Xenopus tropicalis: one gene and its partners. The protein of the gene in region 1 purifies or fractionates together with the protein of each later gene. This does not show direct contact. Links are inferred from orthologs where the notes say so. Each region holds a gene or a part of one and is shown in the gene's direction. Other genes may lie near its edges.

What was found. Proteins that work in one complex are often made in the same cells at the same time.
Region 2: the proteins of smc1a (region 1) and usp13 purify together in Homo sapiens (affinity purification with mass spectrometry; 5 studies listed by BioGRID and IntAct, with this or other methods). This does not show direct contact. The link is inferred for Xenopus tropicalis from reciprocal best matches to the Homo sapiens genes SMC1A and USP13.
Region 3: the proteins of smc1a (region 1) and nipbl purify together in Homo sapiens (affinity purification with mass spectrometry; 3 studies listed by BioGRID and IntAct, with this or other methods). This does not show direct contact. The link is inferred for Xenopus tropicalis from reciprocal best matches to the Homo sapiens genes SMC1A and NIPBL.

The regions. Positions count from the first base shown.
Region 1 is NC_030684.2:23,832,153-23,836,552, forward strand, and holds part of smc1a (structural maintenance of chromosomes protein 1A), read left to right. Parts: intron 1-149; coding exon 150-262; intron 263-402; coding exon 403-606; intron 607-716; coding exon 717-955; intron 956-1,455; coding exon 1,456-1,714; intron 1,715-1,796; coding exon 1,797-1,937; intron 1,938-2,047; coding exon 2,048-2,130; intron 2,131-2,230; coding exon 2,231-2,438; intron 2,439-2,548; coding exon 2,549-2,734; intron 2,735-2,893; coding exon 2,894-3,073; intron 3,074-3,239; coding exon 3,240-3,386; intron 3,387-3,535; coding exon 3,536-3,673; intron 3,674-3,984; coding exon 3,985-4,101; intron 4,102-4,400. UniProt on the Homo sapiens protein: Involved in chromosome cohesion during cell cycle and in DNA repair. Central component of cohesin complex. The cohesin complex is required for the cohesion of sister chromatids after DNA replication.
Region 2 is NC_030681.2:108,727,046-108,731,445, reverse strand, and holds part of usp13 (ubiquitin carboxyl-terminal hydrolase 13), read left to right. Parts: intron 1-156; coding exon 157-217; intron 218-1,390; coding exon 1,391-1,512; intron 1,513-2,972; coding exon 2,973-3,115; intron 3,116-3,323; coding exon 3,324-3,523; intron 3,524-4,400. UniProt on the Homo sapiens protein: Deubiquitinase that mediates deubiquitination of target proteins such as BECN1, MITF, SKP2 and USP10 and is involved in various processes such as autophagy, endoplasmic reticulum-associated degradation (ERAD), cell cycle progression or DNA damage response.
Region 3 is NC_030677.2:197,857,701-197,861,194, reverse strand, and holds the end of nipbl (nipped-B-like protein), read left to right. Parts: intron 1-672; coding exon of another isoform or gene 673-714; exon of another isoform or gene 715-733; intron 734-1,091; coding exon 1,092-1,454; 3' UTR 1,455-2,615; downstream 2,616-3,494. UniProt on the Homo sapiens protein: Plays an important role in the loading of the cohesin complex on to DNA. Forms a heterodimeric complex (also known as cohesin loading complex) with MAU2/SCC4 which mediates the loading of the cohesin complex onto chromatin.

The DNA.
Region 1 (4,400 bases):
CTGACCAGAGATATCAGAATGTTCTTCTTGTCAAGAAAGCATGGTATCAGCTAGGCTGTCCCAGGATTGACCCTTAAATTTTTACAGATACACTATTTTTTCCCCAATAGCAACAGTGTTCTTGTTAAACCTGTGCATGCCTCCTTTAGGTGGGTCTTCAGAGTATAAAATCAACAACAAGGTAGTTCAGTTATCGGAGTACAGCGATGAACTGGAAAAGCTGGGAATCCTGATTAAGGCTCGGAACTTCCTGGTGTTCCAGGTAAATCAATTCACGCAATGCCTTTTAATTCACATGACATTAGGGATTGTTTCATCTTGCTACCTATATGTCTTCTTCACCTGTCTATTTCCACTGTTTATTGGGTAAGGTTTGATACAAAACGTTTTTGTCCTTTGTAGGGGGCGGTCGAGTCCATTGCCATGAAGAACCCCAAAGAGCGTACGGCCCTGTTTGAAGAGATCAGTCGGTCAGGAGAGCTGGCACAGGAGTATGATAAGCGCAAGAAGGAGATGGTGAAGGCTGAAGAAGACACACAGTTTAATTATCACCGCAAGAAAAACATCGCTGCTGAGAGGAAGGAGGCCAAGCAGGAAAAAGAAGAGGTTTGTTTGCAATGTCACGCCACGTGGTGTAAAAGTTTGCTTCATGACAATCCCTACAGTTTGGTTTTGAGTTGGCAAATTGCGCTATGAGCTTCGTGTTCTCCATGCAGGCGGAACGGTACCAGCGATTGAAAGATGAGGTGGCTCGAGCACAAGTTCAGCTGCAACTGTTTAAACTCTACCATAATGAATCTGAGATCGAAAAGCTAAACAAAGATCTGAGTGTTAAGAACAAGGGGATAGAGAAGGACAAGAAGCATATGGATAAGGTGGAGGAAGAACTCAAGGACAAGAAGAAAGACTTGGGGAAGATGATGAGAGAGCAGCAGGCCATTGAGAAAGAGATCAAGTGAGAACCACTGTTAAGGCACATGTATGCAGGGAGATATGTCATACTTTTTCAAGCACCTAATGCAATTGAAAACTTTATCATTAGTATTCTTTAGGCCAGGGAGAACAGTCTTCACCAGTGTGCAATCTACTCTGCTCTCTGTACAGTCAGCCTAGATGACTTTACAGGCAGAAACTGAAAAGTTTGAAGAAAAAAAAAAAACACCAATAAGTCTTTTACCAAAACTGCTAGTACCCTCAGTAGCCAATAAAAATAGATTAGTGTGTGCCCAGAGGAGCATCCTTGTGAAATATACAATACTTGTATGTGTGTGTTTAGAACCTCTTTGCTTACATTTAAGTAAAAAATTAATTACCCATATATTTGTAAACAGTGTTTTGATTGATCTTTAAAACAGATTGCGTTTGATGCCTCTCTACAGTGTATTCCCATGTATGGTTTAAGTGTTTACACTTGTGGATTATTTTAACATCTTGCTTCTGTTTGGTTTTGCGAAGAGAGAAAGATGCGGAACTGAATCAGAAACGTCCTCAGTATATTAAGGCCAAGGAAAACACTTCCCACAAAATCAAAAAGTTGGAGGCAGCCAAAAAATCCCTTCAGAATGCCCAAAAGCAGTACAAGAAGCGTAAAGCAGATATGGATGAACTGGAGAAGGAAATGCTTTCTGTAGAGAAGGCTCGGCAGGAGTTTGAAGAACGGATGGAGGAGGAAAGTCAGAGTCAAGGACGGGATCTTACACTGGAAGAAAATCAGGTAAGGTCTTCTTGCGTGCTGTTCAGCTTGACTTATGTTTAAGGGAGCACTGATTTTTGAGAAACAAAAATGATCTTGTTAGGTCAAGAAATATCATCGCCTAAAGGAAGAGGCCAGTAAGAGAGCAGCCACTTTAGCCCAAGAGCTTGAGAAGTTTAACAGGGACCAGAAGGCTGACCAAGATCGACTTGATCTGGAGGAGAGGAAAAAAGTGGAGACAGAGGTTTGTGCCAGTGATGACTTTTTAACCATTGTGTTTTAAAATATGAATGCCAATTTTCTAGTTCTTGGGAGTAGGAAATAGTCACTGAATGGAATATGCTCCTTCTCTAGGCTAAAATTAAACAGAAATTGCGTGAGATAGAAGAGAACCAGAAGAGAATTGAGAAACTCGAGGAGTACATTGCCACCAGCAAGTATGTGATGGTTGTTTGTTTGTAGTCTTCCACAATCTTTAGGACTGGTAAGGGACAACATAGCTACACATAATCACCTTTGTCATATTATTTCTTACAGGCAGTCACTGGAAGAACAGAAGAACCTGGAGGAGACCTTAACTGAAGAGGTGGAGCTGGCCAAGCGAAGGATTGATGAGATTAACAGTGAGCTGAATCAGGTGATGGAGCAGTTGGGAGATGCTAGGATTGACAGGCAAGAGAGTAGCCGACAGCAGCGGAAAGCTGAGATTATGGAGAGCATAAAGCGACTGTATCCTGGATCTGTGGTAAGTTTGATTATTTGGAATTTTCAAAAGGCATCTGTCCCCTCTACATATTGACACTCAGTTGATCATGGACAATGGAAGCATTAATTTATCCCTTTTCTATTCCTCAGTATGGTCGACTGATTGACCTTTGCCAGCCCACCCAGAAGAAGTACCAGATTGCAGTCACCAAGGTGCTTGGAAAGAATATGGATGCTATCATTGTTGATTCAGAGAAGACAGGAAGAGACTGCATCCAGTACATCAAAGAGCAGCGTGGAGAACCCGAAACCTTCCTTCCTCTTGATTATTTGGAGGTTGCCATTTTACTTTATCTTATTATTGTTGAATGAATGTTGGCTATGTAGACCAAGAATAGATAAGTTTTATTCTTACTGTTAATGTGATGCTGTTTGGGTACTTTATACCTGCATCTTAACACTGATAACAGCTGATTGTCTTTTACTTACTTCCAGGTGAAACCCACAGATGAGAAGCTAAGGGAGCTGAAAGGAGCCAAACTGGTGATAGATGTTATCCGATATGAGCCTCCGCATATCAAGAAAGCTCTACAATATGCCTGTGGTAATGCCCTGGTCTGTGACAATGTAGAGGATGCACGCAGGATTGCTTTTGGAGGACATCAAAGGCATAAGGTGAATATTAGGCAACTCTGAGCAGAGTGAATTGAATTTTAAGCAATAACCATTTCTTTATTTGATGCCTGAGATGTTAGCTGAATTTCTAGTATTATATGATCTTAGCAGGCTCTGAATAATGTGGTACATTTTAACTAAAACACTGTATCTTCTTGCTCTGCAGACAGTGGCCCTGGATGGAACCTTATTCCAGAAGTCTGGTGTGATCTCTGGAGGTGCCAGTGACTTAAAAGCCAAGGCCAGGAGGTGGGATGAGAAAGCAGTGGATAAACTCAAGGAGAAAAAGGAGCGCTTAACAGAGGAACTAAAGGTGAGACTTAATCAGAAGAAAGACACGCCAATTAAGTATTTTAGAAAGCTTGTGGAGGTACCAGTCACGTTTTTACCTAAGGAGCTAAAAATCTTGGTTACATGGCTCAAACAAAGAGAGTCTCACAGACAAGGGCTTATCTCTTATAGGAGCAAATGAAAGCCAAACGCAAAGAGGCTGAACTGAGACAGGTGCAGTCCCAAGCCCATGGTCTACAGATGAGGCTGAAATACTCCCAGAGTGATCTGGAACAAACCAAAACCCGGCATTTGGCTATGAACTTGCAGGTAAGTAGCCAGATTTGCAAAAAAACTTATTTTGCTGTCCATATATGTTCTATTATATTCTATGCATTTGTCAGCAGTTGTCTTGTGGGCACAGTGATCTTGGTTGTTCACAAGCATGTATTAAAATCCAACATCGAGGGTCCACAGTGATAACTATTACCTCTAGACAGTGGTAAATGTAATAGATGTCATATATAAAAAGAAAATGGGCTGATGGGAATTGTCTGAATTAGATGAGGCCCAGCAGGAGATCCCCTGGTCATAGTGTCTGAGATTTCCCAATCTATTTATTTCTTTCCTCTCCCTAACAGGAAAAATCCAAGTTGGAGAGTGAACTGGCCAATTTTAGCCCTCGTATCAATGATATTAAGCGGATAATTCAGAGCAGAGAACGGGAAATGAAAGATCTGAAGGAGAAAATGAATCAGGTAAGGAGCAGTGTGAACCTTAAAGGAAATGTAACTCCTTCACAAAATTACACTTACTCAAAGTTTTTTTTTATTTACTGTGTTTTATTGTTTATTTATATTTTTGTTCACCTGTTTGAGTGGTTGGGAATAAGAACTGCTTGCTTGCTTTTAGTTGTCAGAATATTGGTAGCATTTGTTAGTCCTACAAGGACCCAATACACACTTGCTTACGTTAGGTTGAACAGCACAAGAGGCATCATTCCCTCCCTTAACTGCTGCTATACGTACTCATCACCTCAGACCTTCTAAAGATGGCT
Region 2 (4,400 bases), on another chromosome or scaffold:
CCAGCAGGGCAGACCCAACGATATTATAGATAATTTGTACCTGTAACATACTGATTAGAGGTAAAAGAACTTTTGATGTATGTTTTTATCAGTAACTTAATTCTATTTTGCGGCTGCTTATTGCAACATTTCTAGAATTCATTTATTTCATTTTAGAAAGCAACTGGCGCATCAGGCGGGGCCTTTCCAAAAAGAATAAATGGGAGACTATTTTTAGGTAAAGTAAACTGCTTTTTATATTTATCTTCATTACAAACATGTATAACAATTGTTGAAAGCTGGAGTATACTAAATAAGCACAGGTTTAATTTGTTTTAAAATTGCAAAGCACTTTTTAATATGATTATACTATCTGTAATACTTATCTGTGTTATTCCGTTCTATATAATGTTCCCATTCTTATTTCTTAAAATAGTTTTCTATATACATTTATCAGGCACAACAATCCTAGTTAAGGCAAACCTTGTCAAAAAGTGGAAAATCTCAGCAAAGAAACAAGAGGAACCTTTCTTATCTGGCGCCCCTATTAGCATTCCCTAACTAAGAGCTAATTATAGCTGCTTGATTCACTCTTCAGCTGGTAACTGATCTAATTCTGAAACAGGCATGTCCAGTCAGGCACCACTCCTTTCTTCTACCTCCTCTGTTATTTTTCCAGTGCACTGTCACCTATAAGTCGGTCAGCTGTTCTGTTCCATCAGAAACCATTTCCTTCTGAACCTAACTCATCTGTGGGCTCAGATGATTCTCCAAATTAATTTTAACAATCTGAATTTTACTAATCTGATTTAGTTTCCCTCCAACCAAATTCACTTCAATCAGTGAGGGTTCCATTTTATTATGTGGCACATCAATTCAGTGCAGTCTAAACAGTGTTTGGTTTTTATTTATCAGTAAGGTAGAAACAACTTTGTTTGAAGTCCTAGATTTTAAATGAATTGATGAAATGAGATTTTATAGATATTAGTAAAGCACTGATTTTAGATGTATGGGTAAGCAGCATGTTTGCTTAGTACATGAACTTTTAGCTATTTCATGTTGGTAGTATTGGGCAAGCAGCAAGATTATTTTTTTCCATAGAGTAGGATCTTCACACTTTTCAGTACTGTATAACAAACCACTTCTTTCTGAGTAATGCTTCAAGCCATATTCTGTTGCTATATCTGGTAATAATAAGGTATATGTACTTTGTTCTTATGGACATTAGATCTATGACTAGGCAACACAGGGACAAATACTTATGGACTTCTCCCATTTATTTTGTAAATATAAACTTTAGGTGACTTGGTGCAAAAAGAAGAATCTTTTCTTTATTCATTTCCATGCATTGATTTAGATAAATTATGTTTTATATTTATGTTGCTGAGCTTAATACCCCTGTGTTTTCCAGATCTAGAAAATAACACCGAGATGAACACTGAAGATTATGAATACGAAGATGAAGCAAAACTTGTTATATTCCCAGATCACTTTGAAATTGCCTTACCTAATATAGAAGAGCTACCCGCATTGGTCAGTGACTTTGAGTGGGATTGTACAGTGTGAACACAAACCAAGCAATATTTGCATCTCATGAGTTTCCTTTTTGGGACTTTTTTTAGTCCCTTTTTTTTATCTATGGTCTGCAAATAGATTTGTGTACGGTAATCCCTTGACAAATGGGAAATGTCATATTTACTCTGTGAAGTGTGAAGACCCTTTGCATTTGAAGTGCAAGTAACGCCAAACAGTCAGATTACTTGGAGCAGCATTGTGTTCTAAGCTGCTCATCTGTTACATGCTATGCAAATTGGGCATTGCAGGCCTGCATGACTGCTTCTACTGTTACTAAAATACTTGTTTACGTTTAGGCCTCTGGCACATGGGGTGTTTTGTGAACAGCTGACTTCAGGCTAAGAACAGTGGCTGACAAAACACCCCTCTCCACCTGTTACAGCTCCTTATACTAGTGAATGACACATGTGCATTTGAATGGACATAGAATAGTGATGGAAGTGGAAACCAAGCACTAGGTTGAGAGGGGCATTTTGGTTGCTGCTGCTTCTCTCTGCCTGAGGGCAGCGACAGACAAAACACCTTGTGTGTTAAGGGTTTAGAAGTACTAGACTGATGTCACATGGGGCTGCGGTAGACTTGCTGAGAGTTTACATCTCAGAGCCAATATTTGCTGCTTCTGCCTGTACCCAGGTGGACACAATGCTTTCGGGTGCAGGCAAGGTAAGAGGCTAACGCAGGCCGAGAATCAGCCCCGCGTGGCATCAGCCTTAGGTCAATGGTAAATGCATCAGTTTAGTGCCTGTGATCTTTAGTGTCCTGGGAGGCAACCATAACCTAGACTTATATACATTATTTTCCATGGCATTACTTCCTGAGCTACAAAAAATGACAGCCAAAGATATCCCATCTACCATTATCATATGATTACTGCACGCATCATGAATAGCATTTTACCTATTAATTATCACACATTAATGCTTTAAAAAAATAATCTTTTAAGACCAATGTGCAATGGACCTTTGACTCATTCCCCTTTGTGGTTTTTCATCTGAAGAAGTGGGGCCTGAAAGTGGCTGTGCAGTCTGTGTCATGTAACTGAATGTGTCTGTCATTAGGGGGCAGAAACCTGTATCTCAACCCCAAATGTGTTGGTGCTTAAATCCTAAACTCATATACAGTCAAAACAGCCAGAATCACATTTACTGCCTGCCATAAGAGATGATGCTAAAAGCAGATGACAGTGCACCTCCACTTTTAATCGGAAGTCAAATTGTTTTGTGGGTTATGAGGCTTATATAAAATGGGGCAAATTTTGTGTGTTTTATCTGCTTTATTTTTTAGTGTGTTGTCAAGGAGCTATGAATTGTCCCTTTCCACCTCCCATAGAGTTTAATGTGAGAAATCCTTTTTATGTACCATCCTTCTATCTGCTTTGATGCAAAAGTGTTTGAAGGTTTAACCCACTTTGTTTGCAGGTAACAATAGCCTGTGATGCAGTCCTCAATTCAAAGTCTCCATATAGAAAGCTTGACCAAGAATCATGGGAAGAAGAACTCCAGGTTTCAAAGTTTGCAAACAACCTTGTGCAAATAGATAATGGTGTGAAGATTCCACCAAGGTAACTGTCATGAAGTAGCAAGGAGTGGAAACTGTCATTCTTAGCCCTTTTTTTAGCTGTATAGTGCAAACATTTTGCCCTAAATATTGCTCTAAACATTTGTATAAAGTTTTGCTATATAAAATATTAAGTCTGGCAGTGTCCGCAGATTTACTAGTGCTATGTTGTATGAAAAGTGTTTACCAAATTTTTGAACTTGTTAATTAAGTAGCCTGTTTCTCAGTGGCTGGAAGTGCTCCAAGTGTGATCTCCAAGAGAACCTGTGGTTGAACTTGACAGATGGCTCCATTATGTGTGGAAGGTGGTTTTGTTCAGGCAGTGGTGGGAACGGACACGCTCTTGAACACCATAAGCAAATGGGCTACCCTTTGGCAGTAAGACTAGGAAGTATCACTCCAGATGGGGCAGGTGAGAAAATGATTCTGGGACAACATCTGTTATTAGTTGCAATATATTCTTTTCATTCTTGGATTATTCATTACCTGGGTAACAGCAGCTTACATTCTGCCTGTTTAGGGTAACCTGACCTCTAGCACTGTTACCTTGACCTTTAGCACATTTAGAGTAGGTGGGAGGGACAGGGCCATATTGTATAAGAGCCCTAATAAATATTTCAATATCAAATGCTTATGAATTGCAACAAACTAAATCTCTCTGCAGCGCAGGGCCCAAAATATTGAAAAATAACAGAAACATCAGTCTTTATCTGCTTTACATTCCAGATCTACTGTTGACACTTGATCTTACACTAGGGTCTCAGGCTTAAATTCTACCTCCTATTTCTTCAGACCCCATGTCATGTCATTTGCTATTATGGTCTCTCTGCATAATTAGCCCATAAATAACCCATAGATTGAAGCATTAATTACTGACAAGAACTCGACAAACCGCTTTAGAAAAATGCTTTATCTTTAAAATGACATTGTCCTTTAAAAGTAAACAGTGCAGCAACATTATTGAGAAAATTTACATTCAAATTTTCTACTTTGGTTTCTACTTTTTTTCTACTGTTTAGCCAATTTAATATTTGCATGATCTTGCAGAGTAAATTGTACTATTCAGTTCTCCATTCTTAGTTAATTGTTAATGTAAATTGTTAATGTTACAGAATGTCTTAAGGTGCCCATACACCTTAAGATCCGCTTGGCGATGTCGCCAAGCGAGCGTATCTTCTCTCGATATCCCCCACCTACGGGTGGGCGATATCAGGAGAATCCAGGCTAATTCGATAGTTTGGCCCTGGGGCCAAACGATCAAATTATAATGTCGGGCATAGGAAAAGTCG
Region 3 (3,494 bases), on another chromosome or scaffold:
GTCAAATCCTATCATGGCAGCCTTTCTTGCAATGGTGGTTTCTGTTTTTTTCTTTTTTTTTTAACCAGTCTTCTTTAAAGTGCAGAATATTACAGGACAATTTGGTCTGCTTCCCATAAGCAAACGCCTGTACATTGTAGCTGCATTCTTTGGCATTCCCATTACTTACTGATTTGAAGTGTTTAATTGCTCTGCTCTTCCCTCCCATAATGAAATCTATAAGAACAAATACTAACATTCAAAATCACTTAAAGTCAACTTTCCTATACTTTTACAATGTAAATGTTTAATAAAGTGCCAACTTTTACTGGAATTTTTTTCTCGAGGGATAGGTAACCTGCGGCTCTCCGGTATCTCATTTGCTGCACCTCCATCGTCCTTTGAGTTGGTTGGTGGGAATGATGGGTGCTGCAGGGGAATTGCTCGAGAGCAGCAGACTTTGCTTTTCCTTCAGCTGGAAATATAATGGTTTTATTCTTCCCCTGAATGAATTCCCCATCGATTACCTGTGCTTGTGTTTTTAATAAGGGATGAGAGGTGGTTTATGGTTGTTTGGTCCCTGTGCTGTGGTCTTCTACGTCAGGGTTTTTCTTTTTATCATATAATTTTTGCTGTGGGGGTAAGAAGCCATTTTGTAGCTAGACTTAACCATTTATACATCTTTTTTTGTAGAAAGGGTTTAGCGGAAAAGGCAAAAAAAAACGTAGAAATTGAGATTTATCCAAAGTAAAAGGTAATTTTAATTTAGATTTCCTCTTCTATTCTATCCCTATTTTCTTGCTATAATTTTGTAACATATATTAAAAAAAAATATATACATATATATAAAAAAATACAAACTTTGAATTTTGCATTCCGTAGCAGTAAAAGTCAGTGGTACACGTTAAAGACCTGACACTTCCTAGGCACTGGTGGTTTTAATGCATCCCATGGATTGGAGTGGGGGTGTGCTGGGAAATTCATACCACGGTGCCTGGGGTTATAAATCTTTGATGTGTAACATTCACATCCATTCCTATATGTTAAGTCCTGTTTTTTTTTTTCTTCCTTTCCTTCTCCTCTTTTCTCCGTGTCGACGTTGGGCCGTAAAGCTAAGAAAATCAAAAAGATTATCAGATTCTTCGGATGTGGCAGCGCAGATGAACGAAACTGTAGATGTCCAAGATGTTATTGCAATTTGTTGTCCAAAGTACAAGGATCGGCCACAGATTGCAAAAGTAGTGCAGAAAACCAGCCATGGCTTCAGTGTTCAATGGATGGCAGGCTCCTACAGTGGCACCTGGGCCGAAGCCAAACGCCGGGACGGCAGAAAACTGGTGCCTTGGGTAGACACTATCAAAGAGTCAGACATTATTTACAAAAAAATTGCTCTGACGAGCGCTAATAAGCTGACTAATAAAGTTGTTCAGACTTTACGATCGCTGTATGCAGCCAAGGACGGGACTTCCAGCTAATGAATTTGTATATTTGCAGCCAAAATTTACAGGAATCCAGAAACACACACAAACTTGAAAAAAAAAAACAAAAACCTGCATTCTGGCAAAAATTAATTAAAAAAAAAACTACAAAAACCCCTAAACACACACACAAAAAGGTGATCAGTTTTATCGCAACGTAAACAAAAAAAACCAACAAAGCAAAACGGGAACTTGGCCGTCAGAAGGAAATGTTTGGTAAACATTGTGTGGGAGCTTCCTTCGCTGTTGTACAGCAGAAACCGTCTCAGTTCATTTTTACTCCCACTGTATTATAGTTTAACAAAAATTGTTTATATCTTGAAGAATACTTTCTGTTTAAAAAAAAGACAAACGCAAAAAAAAACAAAAAAAAAAACAACGAAAAAATAAACAAGTGAATGTTGAAAATTAGTCTGTTAATGTTCTTAATAAAGTGTTCTTGGAGTTTAATAACCTAGCAGCGGATGGCTTTCTTTAGCTTAGCCCGGGCTCCAGGGGAGCACTCATTTCCCTTTTACTCTTTTACTTTTTATTTTCTTTCATTTTATTTTTTTAATCCCCGGCTGTAAAGTGGCAGAATGCTCTGGATATATATAATTTATTCTGTTTAAAAGAAACAAAACAAAAAAAAGCATGCAGTATCTACGGCCTATCTGCAGGAGGAGGGTGTTTGTTATTTTTGTTTTTTCTTTTTTTTTTTTTTTTTGTAAATGTAGATTTTGATGTATTAGGTCACCCTGAAAAATAACACGAGACAAACACAAAAAGGGATCCCCCCCAGACGACCTGGCGGAGATAATACTGCAATAAATTTTTTTTACTTCTTTGTTACTTGTCTGTTTCCATTCAACTTTCTTGATGTAAAGCTGTTTTGAATTGGATTATATTATTTTGCAGTCTTTTATGTAAAGATAAACAAACAAACAAAAGTTTCCTATCAGTCGTTTTCAACTTAAGGCATAAATATTGTTTATACGGTTTGTATAGGCTGACTTGGAAATAACTGCTATCTTTATTTTCACCCCTATGAAAGGGTATAGACACGATTTAACTCCCGATTTTATTGTATCCTTGAAATATTTAGTGTTAACCATATGATTTAGCACTGTGCCAAACACATTTTCAAGAATGTTTGATATAAAAAGAAACTATAGTTTATTCCTTGTATGTTTGGATTTCTTTACTCTGCTCTTCAGAATGGTTCGCTCCAACGTTTATTCTGTTTTGCTTGTGAATTTTGCAAATTGAAGACTCAACGATCTGAGTTTAATTTCTTATTTTCAGTTCTCTTGTTTTTTTGGGCTGTTCACCATAACGTACCAATGGTGGCCTTGAACTGTGTGTATAGCAAAAATTTGTGTTAGAAAAGCTATAATATGTCTGGTGAGGGGGAAGAACACACACCGTAGGCATTATTTCCTTATCGATAAGACCATAGCCAATGTTCTTGTTGCCATGCTAACAGCCCATAACTTACAGTTCTTTGCAAAGAGTGGTTGCTATGCTGGTGCCTTGTAAAAAAAGGTAAGTGGGTCATATAAGAAACGGCTGAAGACAGGAGGTAACTTCCAAGTCTGATTATTAAAGGGATCCTAAATGACACTGTATACATTGCAAATAATTCACTCGGCTATTTAAAATTGTATTCTTGAACCAACACATGTATTTGTAGCTGTAATATTGGTGTGTAGGCGCCATCTCAGTGCATTGTGCCTGAGTCTGAGCTTTCAGCCAGCGCTACACATTAGAACTGCTTTCAGCTAACCTATTGTTTCTCCTACTCCCATGTAACTGGAGGAGTCCCAAGCCGGACTTGGATTTCTTACTATTGAGTGCTATTCTGATACCTACTGGGAGCTGCTATCTTGCTCCCTTCCCATTGTTCTGCTGATCAGCTGCTGGGAGGGGGGGATATCACTCCAACAGCAGCGCAGCAGTAAAGTGTGCCTGAGTCTGAGCTTTCAGAAGGAGCCAGCGCTACACATTAGAACTGCTTTCAGCTAACCTATTGTTTCTCCTACTCCCATGTAACTGGAG